Linked DNA regions of Neodiprion lecontei. The protein of the gene in region 1 purifies or fractionates together with the protein of each later gene. This does not show direct contact. Links are inferred from orthologs where the notes say so. Each region holds a gene or a part of one and is shown on either strand. Other genes may lie near its edges.

Region 1 (5,472 bases):
TCATACGATCCCTAACTTCACGAATACCTATCTACATCGTTTTCCGGTCTTGAAATTCAATTAATTGGCATGATCCATTCGTACATAATTTACCATCCAAGTTGTTTCGTACGGTTACAGTACGGATATCCTTGCATTCATGCCCGATAATACTTACCTATATATTAGTATGTACATAAAAGTTTTGCTCTACACTTTAGACTCTGCTGAATTTCGTTCGATGCGTTAAATTCAAGAAGTCATTTTGCGGGCAGTGAGGCGAGAGACACCGCCGACGAAATTGTCAGTCTTGTTCACTGCTCAGTTCTCCGACGCAAGAATCAGATAAACGGTCGAATAGCTTTTGACTTTATCACGTTCTAACAGTCAAACCGACAAACGACAGTTTCGTTTCACTTTTAAGAATGCGTAGGGAAAAATAGAGATGACATTATAGATTTCACTAATTAATTTCTATTTTCCATGCTTGAACGATTTACCTTTGAATTTTCTTTAGTCTATGAATTAAAAAAAGTCACACGCAATGAAAGGAAAGGTGAAAAAAATATTCAAATTCGTGTTTCTACAAAACTATTAAATTGGTAAAATATTTCTATTACATAGAGCTGTAACATGGCAAATAAAAATAAAATATGCCACTTTTTTTTTATTAACATGACTAAGCTACGGTAACACGTGACCTCCTGAAGTCTAGACTTTGTATTTGTTTGATTTTTGTGGGTACGAGCAGGGAGGAGAATATAACAAGTAAACAAAACTGAAATCACGTCGAAATTCGAAGCATTTTGTTGTATGACATGCGTCATCAGAATTTACATTTCAATTTGAGATGCACATTTTTTGGTTTTCGTACACTCGATAGTCCCTAGAATTGATTACAGCACAATTTCGTGTTATTTTCAATTAAACATTCGGCTAGAATCATTACAATCAATTGTAACTCTGAACTTTTTTGTTTAAATGCAAATAGGTGTGTCCCTTGTAACAATGAATAATATCACATGTACAACGCATAAATTGCATCTGCAGTTCTAAATAAACTCAATACGTTAGTAGAAAAAAAAAACAATTTGACCATTCGAAATACTTTTCGGGGGTTTCCGTGCTTGTGAATGTTTTCTCGGCGAGAGGATGCAGGTAGGCTATTTCCATCAATCTGTTATATATTGTATCCGTAACTCACGTAGGGTAGTCAGCCTGAAATACATCTCAGGTTGCCTCAGATTATTGAAACAGTGAAATCTCTTTTCTCGCCACGGGTTTGATAAGTGATTTTAAACAAAAATTGCTTGTTAAAATTTCTTCGTTATTACCTCTCTTTGGTGATCCATCAAAACAATTTTAAGATTCTTCCGATTACGTACTTTTACAGTGATTCTGTGTGCGAATGGAAGAGAATCGGTTTACACCGTGGTGAGCGAAATTTGATTGCAGCAGAACATCTCAATTTAATCAAAGGCTTGCCAAGATCCAAGGAAAATGCTCTTCCCATTACGTGAAATCAGCGAAATAATATACGAAATTGCTAAATAGCCAGGCTGGAATCTCTACCTCGCGTATGAAAAACACAGTTAATATAGGAACACTTATAGCAATATTTATCGGTTATACTCAATGTACAGTAGCTGCGCGATACCCGGACCGATGAACGAAGGAATAGCACTGAACAATGTATTATCTCTACTCAATGCAATTGAAGCCGTAGTTGTTATCCCTTGTATTTGCAATGGTTAGTTTTTGTACGATAAATGATTTATGTACGTGTGATATTCTCTATTGTAATGATGTCAGTTTGTCGCGAGAATGTGTTATAAGAGACGATTTTCTCAAGTCTATGTACAGTTTTATTTATTGCATTACTGGGGGAGGTTGAGGAGGACATTTTGACCAACGGGAAGATATGAGACTTGGCGAGAACGTGACAGCTGGTACGCAATGTCTTCGGCGGCTTCGATTCTCCTAAGCTCAACCAGACCGTCGCCAGCTTCGCCGAACGCTTTGGCAAGCAGAAGTGCGGCCTGTGCGTCACCTTCCGCGCTTATGACGGCTGCCTTCTTCTGTTGTTCGGCTTTTTCTACGAGGAAACGCGCCTTCTCCGCGTCCTGCTGAGCGACCTGCTTCAACTCAACAGCTTGCGTGAACTCTTTGCCGAATGTCAAGTGTGTCTGAAAATAAAATCATTCAAATCAAAGTTCGACATTGGCGAAATCGGGTGATATACGCCACGCAGGGCGGTACTTACAATTGAAATATCGTCCAGAATTACTCCGAACTGAGCAGCACGTTCCGTCAAATCTTCGTTAACTTTCTGAGATACCATTTCACGTTGAGTGATTAATTCCCCAGCGTCAAATTGCGCTACCACAGCCTTCAACACTTCGGTAGTAATTGATGGCAGTACTCGTTCTTCATAATCAACTCCAAGAACAGTATAAATTTTCGGCAGAGATTCTGGTATCGGCCTGAACAATATACGCAACGTGATATTCACATTTTGCAAGTCCTTACTTCCGGTAATGACTGGGACGTTTCTTGGGCGTGATCTAATGTCAAACATGATAGGTCTCTGAACCCAGGGAATGAAAAAATGCGTCCCTTCACCCACTACTGTATTCTTTACCCCGGCAAATCTATCGAATATTACCGCTCTGTACCCTCCGTCAACTGAAACACACATTAAATCATTGTAACACTTTTTTCCTTGCAATTATTTTCTTCAACAAGGTTATCCCTGAATTAATCACGAAATGAGGAAACTTTTACATTGGATGGAGTGGTGATTAAATCAAAGCATCAAATAATATTTCGTTAACAGTATTTTAGAACACAATTATCATCTCAACCGATTTGGATTTACGAGGTTGTTATCTGGAGTTTATCTGTACATGATTTGAAAATGCTAACACATTTTACAGTGAGAGACTCAGAGGCATAAGCCAGAATAAAATTTAAGTTGAACTTCAAACATCGTTCATCTATTATTTCAATAAACCTTAAAATTACATTATAAATTCCAGCTATAGCATAATAATATTAGAACTACGCCTGTCAGAGTCGTATTTCATCGTGTCAAGTTTATTGAAAATATAATCATAGGTATTTTACTTGGTGCATTTGACAACTCAGCAAATAGAGTATTGTGGACAAATAACAAAATGCAACAAACCATTATAAAGGGCAGAATTGACTACACCACCAACAAGAGCCACTCCAAGGCCCACCTGGCCGATCCTGTTGAATAAATTTGCTGCCATATTTTCGTAGCGGACCTGGATATAAAAAAACTTTATTAATTTTTATACTTTTGGACTGAACGTTATAAGAAATTATTGATTTATCATTTGTGAGAGTAAAATCTGATGTAACAGTAGCTTTAATTTATGTGTACCAAGTCTAACCTAAAAAAAGTTACATCTCACAGCTCAAGTTTGGTACAAGGGATTTTCTCAGTCTTAATTCTATACGCCTGTAAGAAAATGAAGTGAAACACAATACCTTGGGACACTGAGAATCACCAAAAATATTACAAAATATGTGTAAACATTGGGAAGATAACTCGTCGCAATTAAGCCGACCGGGCTCTTTTTAACCGGACAATTCTCAAGAATACTCGTGTGTCCATTTTACGTAATGCAACAATAAGAATATTGTGAAAAACAATGATTAAAAGTTGCCTGCATAATAATGAATTACTTACGTAATTGACGGCGTTTTCCGAGTCTTTTTATCAGTTTTTCTCCTCGTGCCGCGATGCTGGTCGATAAAGGAAAATGGATTCCGGCAATACAGCCTGCTGAAAGAACGACGAGCCGGCACAGGCGTAGGCTGCAGGCCGCAAAGCGATACCCTGATACTGCATAACCTCTCACTCCTCTATTGGCTCCTTCCACTCAATTGACTTCGTGATTGGTCAATTCTCCTGTCTCAAAATGCTCGCGAAGTGGGGGTAGACATCGCGTGTATTTCACTTGCCGGCCCGATATTCCGCTCAGATCGTGGACTGATTTTCACGCATGCGTGTGGTTGCTCGCAATCGTGCATATTCATACGCCTGCGCGTAGGCAGCATGCCATTCGTTTCGTAGAGAGTATGTGCCTATAGTACGGCGTGATTTTTTCACGCCTGGGGTCAGGCAATGCGCGACTCGTTGCATTAAAATTATTAAAATTGCTCGATATGCACCAGGGAAGCAAACCTTACACAGGTGTAGAAAGCATAGAAGACATCGTGCAGGGTAATAAGGAGCGTTACTTGCACCAGCACTTACATGTTCTGTTGGATAGAGCATACTACTAAGTATGTGCGCTTGTTTATGCAATTTCGTATTGTCGAATTCAATGAAAACTCGTGATAGGTGTAGACGAAAGCCGGTAGCGCTCGAAGCCAGATCCCTATCTTAGCAACTGCGGAGGCAGCCAACCACGTTCGAAAATTAATTCTTTGCACCTCAAATTACAAAAAACAAATATTCTTGAACCATTTTCGAATGATATTTTTTGAAACTGTCTGGAAGTTACATAAGATGGTTTCCAGACTATAATTATTTTTTTGTTTTTCAAGAAGAATCACAACCTAGTAATTGAGTTCACCCAATTTATCACCAGGATTTGTTAACAATGAGAAATCTTTCCAACAGTCTAATAACAATTGTTCCATTGATTTGTTTCATGTGAAAATTGTTATAAGTTCACTCCACAATAAAATTTTCAGATAAATCAGAATTGACAGATAATTCATTTAACACGTGGTGTGGCTAACAAGAAAAAGTTATATTGAGTATTTAAATTTGCGGAGCTGTACAAACCTTTAAACGGATAACGGTTTTCGCGCGAATAACTCCAGCCTTTACCTGTAGATGTTGAGATACCTCCATAAAACGACAATTCATTACTAACTTTTAGTAAGCACAGCCGCTCTTAATCTCCAGCGCTTCTAAATGCCCAAATGAGTTTTTATGAAAAGTAATTGCAAATTATACGTCTACCTCGTAACATCATGACTAAAACTGATTTTCTTTTCTGGGCTGTTTATTACAGTACTTACGTCTCTACCCGAATACCTTCTGTATTTTATCGCCAAAATTTCAGTAAAAATTCATGTGAACCAGGGTCACTACGCACTGAAAAATACTCCAAAAGTAAACGCGCCCCCGGGTGGGCTCGAACCACCAACCTTTCGGTTAACAGCCGAACGCGCTAGCCGATTGCGCCACGGAGGCGGTTGGGGTGGGAAAAAAATGTATTCAAATCCAATGTAGTTGTGTTTTTCAGTATCTTTGGTGATAGCCTATATGAAAACAAAATTGACGAAATGAAAGAAAAATGATTTACTCCAAAATTTACGGTTTTTTTTTCTTCTTTTTTTTGCATTGAATCTTGGTGATTGAAAAAGGAGATTTCCAATCTTTTGAAATCAAATTTAATTACACTGTTCCATTACAATATGACAATTTCTTAAGTATTTCGAAGTGAT
Region 2 (4,693 bases), on another chromosome or scaffold:
GAGGATTGCTGAAGAAAGTCAGCCAGGGGTATCTTTTGAAGCAAGCGACAGAGTGCCGAGAGCGTGAAGGTAATAGCAGGACCCTGCATTAACTGATTCGCCAACGGTAGGTTTCTGTACAGGAAGCACCTCGCATCGTGCCTCGCTTAGTCGTGCCGACCTTCCCAGCTCGGTAACGTCCCATTTGTAATGACGCTGTCTTGAGCGATCTTCAGTCAACGCGGGGATTGTCTGACACAAAAACGTGTTCACTTGATTGAAAAAATCGTGAAAATTACAGGCATAGTCCACCTGCGAAAAAATTACCCCCGTAAGCATGCGTATATATTATGCATGTATACTTGACAGAAGTGTATCACGATGTATGATTCATTCCTTGTTATTTTTTTCCCTCTTTACGAAGAGCCAACTGCAGGGGAAACCGTGACGAAGTCTACGATCGAGGCAACTTGCGCAAATAGCATGCATCCAAGTTGAATGGAAAATATACGGGAACTGTAATCCCGCCAACAAATGCTATGGTGGTTCTTTCTTGCAGGAGACAGGTATTCGGACAAGGCGTAAACGATAGAGTACATTTCGGTGAGTACAATTTGAAACTTATATACTTTTGGAATTATCAATATCTTCTCCCGAAATCGATAAACTCATTCATTTTCATTCCATGATTTCGTTGAATCGAATGATCGGTACTGCACCGGAGACTTACGATGTCACCCCTGTTGAACGACCGTTTGAAGTGTGCCTACCATTTCAATCTCTGTTGGCATGATATGCGGTCGATTGACTTGATTTTTATTTGCCGAACACTGCATCACACCACACTGCAATCACCAGATTGTGAATTGGCAACGTGTGATATAGTGTTTCATTGTGACGGTTCGAACGCCGAAGTAAGCGAGTTTCATGCAGAACGTATTGTATGATGGACGGGCGTTTTACGCTGCTGATGACGTACGGATCACCAGGCAATTCTTTGTATAATTGACACCCGCACTGCAACTCTCATCTTTTTTAACGGTGTCATGCTGCATACCATCTTGTCTTACTCACCTTGACGGGAGAATGCGATTAATCCATTGTTTGCGAATCCTGGCTGCTCGTCGCTGTCACCGGAGCCACGTTGCCTACATACCATTGTATTACTCCCCCAGAGAAGGAGATCTGTCACCTTCCCCTACGGCTGTAAGACGTCGGAACGCAGTTTAAAAATGTACGCAATTCCTTACATCATTGATACAATATCGGACAACAATTTTACATGCGTACAACTTGAAGAAAACATCTCTTATTGTCAGATGAATCTGAGACTGGCAAGTCAACAGCCCAGTCAAGTATTACTCGTCGATTCGTCTGGTCCGGATAATTCCATTATTATTTTGTGTTGTCGCTCTTCATATTCCGTACTCCTTATTTTTTTGTTCTCTACTAATTCCTTTTGGATTCTTGGGTTGTAATTGTTATTTGCGTATTTTTACTGCTACGGCGATCCCATCGTATGCGAATACACCGTACAACATTGTGATAACCAAGCCTGTATGATAAAAAAAATTATTGAAGGTGCAACAATTGAGCAAGCTCACCAGGAGTTGGAATATTAGCACTCTTGTTGTTGTGCATAATTTCCATTTCGCTTATATCGCCTAGATATAACGCTAATACTGCTCTCATGTCATACCACTGTGTTAATGAAGATCGCATCTTGTATGCTCTAGCTATCGTGTTAAGTAGAGGTCGGACTCTGGTCTCCATGTGGAAACGGAACGCGGTATACAGTTAGTCGACTGCAGTCGACTGCGTGATGTGTGGCAGTTCTGCAAGTACATTTCGGAACACAGCCATGGTTCGAGTTGATGACAAACGTCAGTTTAGCCAACATCTAGGTTGCCCCATACATAACCTACACGGGTGTCGAGACCGAATGTAATGGTTGGGTTATCCCATTCTTATTTGAGTTTTGCAAACCAAAAACTAAGATCCCGATTGTGTGATTAATAAATCAGACGCGACATCAAAAAAAAAAAAAAATTATGCTTTCAACAACGAATTCACTCTTTCGGGGTATTAGCATAGCCAGAGTATGTAAACCCAATATAATTCTGACAATACTTTTATCGAAATTTAAATTCGTAGTCTGCATAAAAAAAAAAAAAAATAAATAAATCAAACTGATTGCGTTGGTGAATGTCTCAGAGAATTCTATTAACTTGGTTTAAATAATGTTTTTTTTTTGCAGGACACTGTGCGTATCCTTTCGATCAAACCGAAGATCCCGCATCGGTACAGTTCCTCGACTCCGATGAACACGATCGTCATGTTCGTCCCTCAACAAGAGGTTAGAACAATTGTTTCCGTCATCTTGCGCAATATGCGCATCGTATAGCAGTTATTGATAGAGGCATACAAGTAATGTCAGCAAATAAATATGTTCAGTTTTAATTGTATAGTATCATTTTCATTAGGCATGGATCGTAGAGAGGATGGGGAAATTTCACAGAATCTTGGAGCCAGGAGTTAATCTTCTGATTCCTGTAATAGACCGAGTGAAGTACGTGCAGAGTCTAAAAGAAATTGCAATCGATGTTCCCAAACAAAGCGCAATCACGCTAGGTAGTACTGATACGTTACTTTCAGCAGTTCCATAAAACAACAATCACACAGCTCGGTGATTTACCGCAACCTAGCAAACTGAAACAAGCCAGGAAATTCTGATCCACATGTAGAGTTGTTCGAACCTCGCCTCAACTGTAGCACCATACCTATCTGCTTATCATTTTAATGATTCTATCGCCAACTATTACTCAGTATTATCAAGTCATGAATAACTTTTCAGATAATGTCAACTTGAACATTGACGGCGTCTTGTATTTGAGAGTGAACGACCCGTATCTGGCATCTTACGGAGTTGAGGATCCTGAGTTTGCAATCGTTCAGCTGGGGCAAACAACAATGAGATCGGAACTAGGCAAAATATCGCTAGATAAAGTGTTCAGAGAAAGAGAGGGACTCAACGTTTCCATTGTAGAAAGTATAAACAAGGCCAGCGAAGCCTGGGGAATAACTTGCCTTCGTTATGAAATTCGTGAGTAAAGTTGTTTCTACCCGTCAGTCGCAGTAGCACCGACAGGTCGCATTTGAGGTCAACTTTTTTACCAACTATCTCAAATGCGACACACAATTAATTCTCTTTCAGGCGACATTAAACTACCAGTGAGAGTACAAGAAGCCATGCAAATGCAGGTAGAAGCAGAGAGAAAGAAAAGGGCTGCTATATTGGAATCTGAGGGTACGAGAGAAGCTGACATAAATGTTGCAGAGGGAAAACGTCAGGCCAGAATCCTCGCGTCTGGTAATTTTGAGTACCATGTTTTTTTTTTTTTTTCTCAAAAATTATTCCAACTGCTGCATACAAGTGTTGAGACATCCAATGATTTTTCATTCATTTACATCTTCATCTTTACCGAGTGAAGCAATACTTGTAGCTATTCAGGTTAATCTGGCTGTTGTAATAATCATTTCGTTCATGTTTCAAATACAAAATCCAAATGACCAGAGGCTGAGAAACAGGAACAAATCAACAAGGCGAACGGCGAAGCAGCGGCTATGTTAGCTGTCGCGGAGGCGAGAGCCAAAGGTTTACAGGTTGTTGCCGGATCTTTGGGTTTGGAAAATGGCAGAAATGCCGCATCGTTCAGCATCGCCGAGCAATACGTTCGTGCATTCAACAAACTAGCCAAAACTAACAACACTATGATCTTACCGAGCAACCCTGCCGATGTTCCCAACATTGTTGGACAGGTATGTACACTAAATTACGTTCGATCATCCAAGTTATTATTCAAGTGTTACGATGATTGCACTCGTCAAAGTTGACGATACATACTCTATTTTGACACATTTCAACTAGCATGAAATTAACCTACTCTTCTGGTACTATACAGGCGATGGCGATATACCAGCATATCGCACCCCGTCCACAAACACCGGACGATCCAGCACCGCAATTTAAGTCGAAAATCCCGCTCACCGTTGATACCCCGGATAACGCTTATGAATATTTTAGCGATAAAGAGGAGCTGGAGAAGCATAGAAATTCTACCAGTAAGAATTCGCAAATATTGTAAAAGTTTTCATTACAAAGTAAATAAATAAAAATTGAAAATGTAAAAATATCGAATAGTAGATCAAAAGCGATTGATTGGAAACCCTGAGAAAATTTTACAGACATAATAAGGGCAAACTGGATTAACATGAATAAGCTTGCACACTTCATTTCAAAAAGTGTGCATTTTAAGCGAACACGCTTGAACTTGTTTCAGAGACACTCTGTAGAAAAAATGTCAAAACTGGTGTGCAATCTTGTAGGAAGAATATTGAAAGTAATTCATCAATTTTCATCAATACTTTCAAGCCTAATTTCCGATCTTGAGATTAAAAGAGGCTCCTCGTTCATTTAAATGGATCGCTGAGCTTAATAATATTGGAGAAGTTGCATAGATCGCAAGATCCCAACTCCAATCAGGTGGATGAGAAATGAATTGAATGGCATTGCCTAGTGATGCTTCCGAGTAAAAATTCACTGGACGTGTAGGATGGTATTCAGTTACCTGTGACAAATCAGCCATCAAATTATGCGATATGCACGACCAGGCCACAGTTGGTTACAAAGAACCTGTATTATAAGGCTATTGTT

Evidence for each region.
Region 2: the proteins of protein l(2)37Cc (region 1) and stomatin-like protein 2, mitochondrial purify together in Homo sapiens (affinity purification with western blotting; 3 studies listed by BioGRID, with this or other methods). This does not show direct contact. The link is inferred for Neodiprion lecontei from reciprocal best matches to the Homo sapiens genes PHB1 and STOML2.

Annotation. Positions count from the first base shown.
Region 1 is NC_060261.1:13,957,678-13,963,149, forward strand, and holds protein l(2)37Cc, read right to left. Parts: upstream 3,852-5,472; 5' UTR 3,698-3,851; intron 3,637-3,697; exon of another isoform or gene 3,496-3,636; intron 3,270-3,495; 5' UTR 3,255-3,269; coding exon 3,167-3,254; intron 2,665-3,166; coding exon 2,243-2,664; intron 2,166-2,242; coding exon 1,857-2,165; 3' UTR 554-1,856; downstream 1-553.
Region 2 is NC_060266.1:26,734,926-26,739,618, reverse strand, and holds stomatin-like protein 2, mitochondrial, read left to right. Parts: upstream 1-1,830; 5' UTR 1,831-2,030; coding exon 2,031-2,078; intron 2,079-2,236; coding exon 2,237-2,335; intron 2,336-2,462; coding exon 2,463-2,610; intron 2,611-2,833; coding exon 2,834-3,082; intron 3,083-3,193; coding exon 3,194-3,349; intron 3,350-3,553; coding exon 3,554-3,798; intron 3,799-3,941; coding exon 3,942-4,124; 3' UTR 4,125-4,172; downstream 4,173-4,693. UniProt on the Homo sapiens protein: Mitochondrial protein that probably regulates the biogenesis and the activity of mitochondria.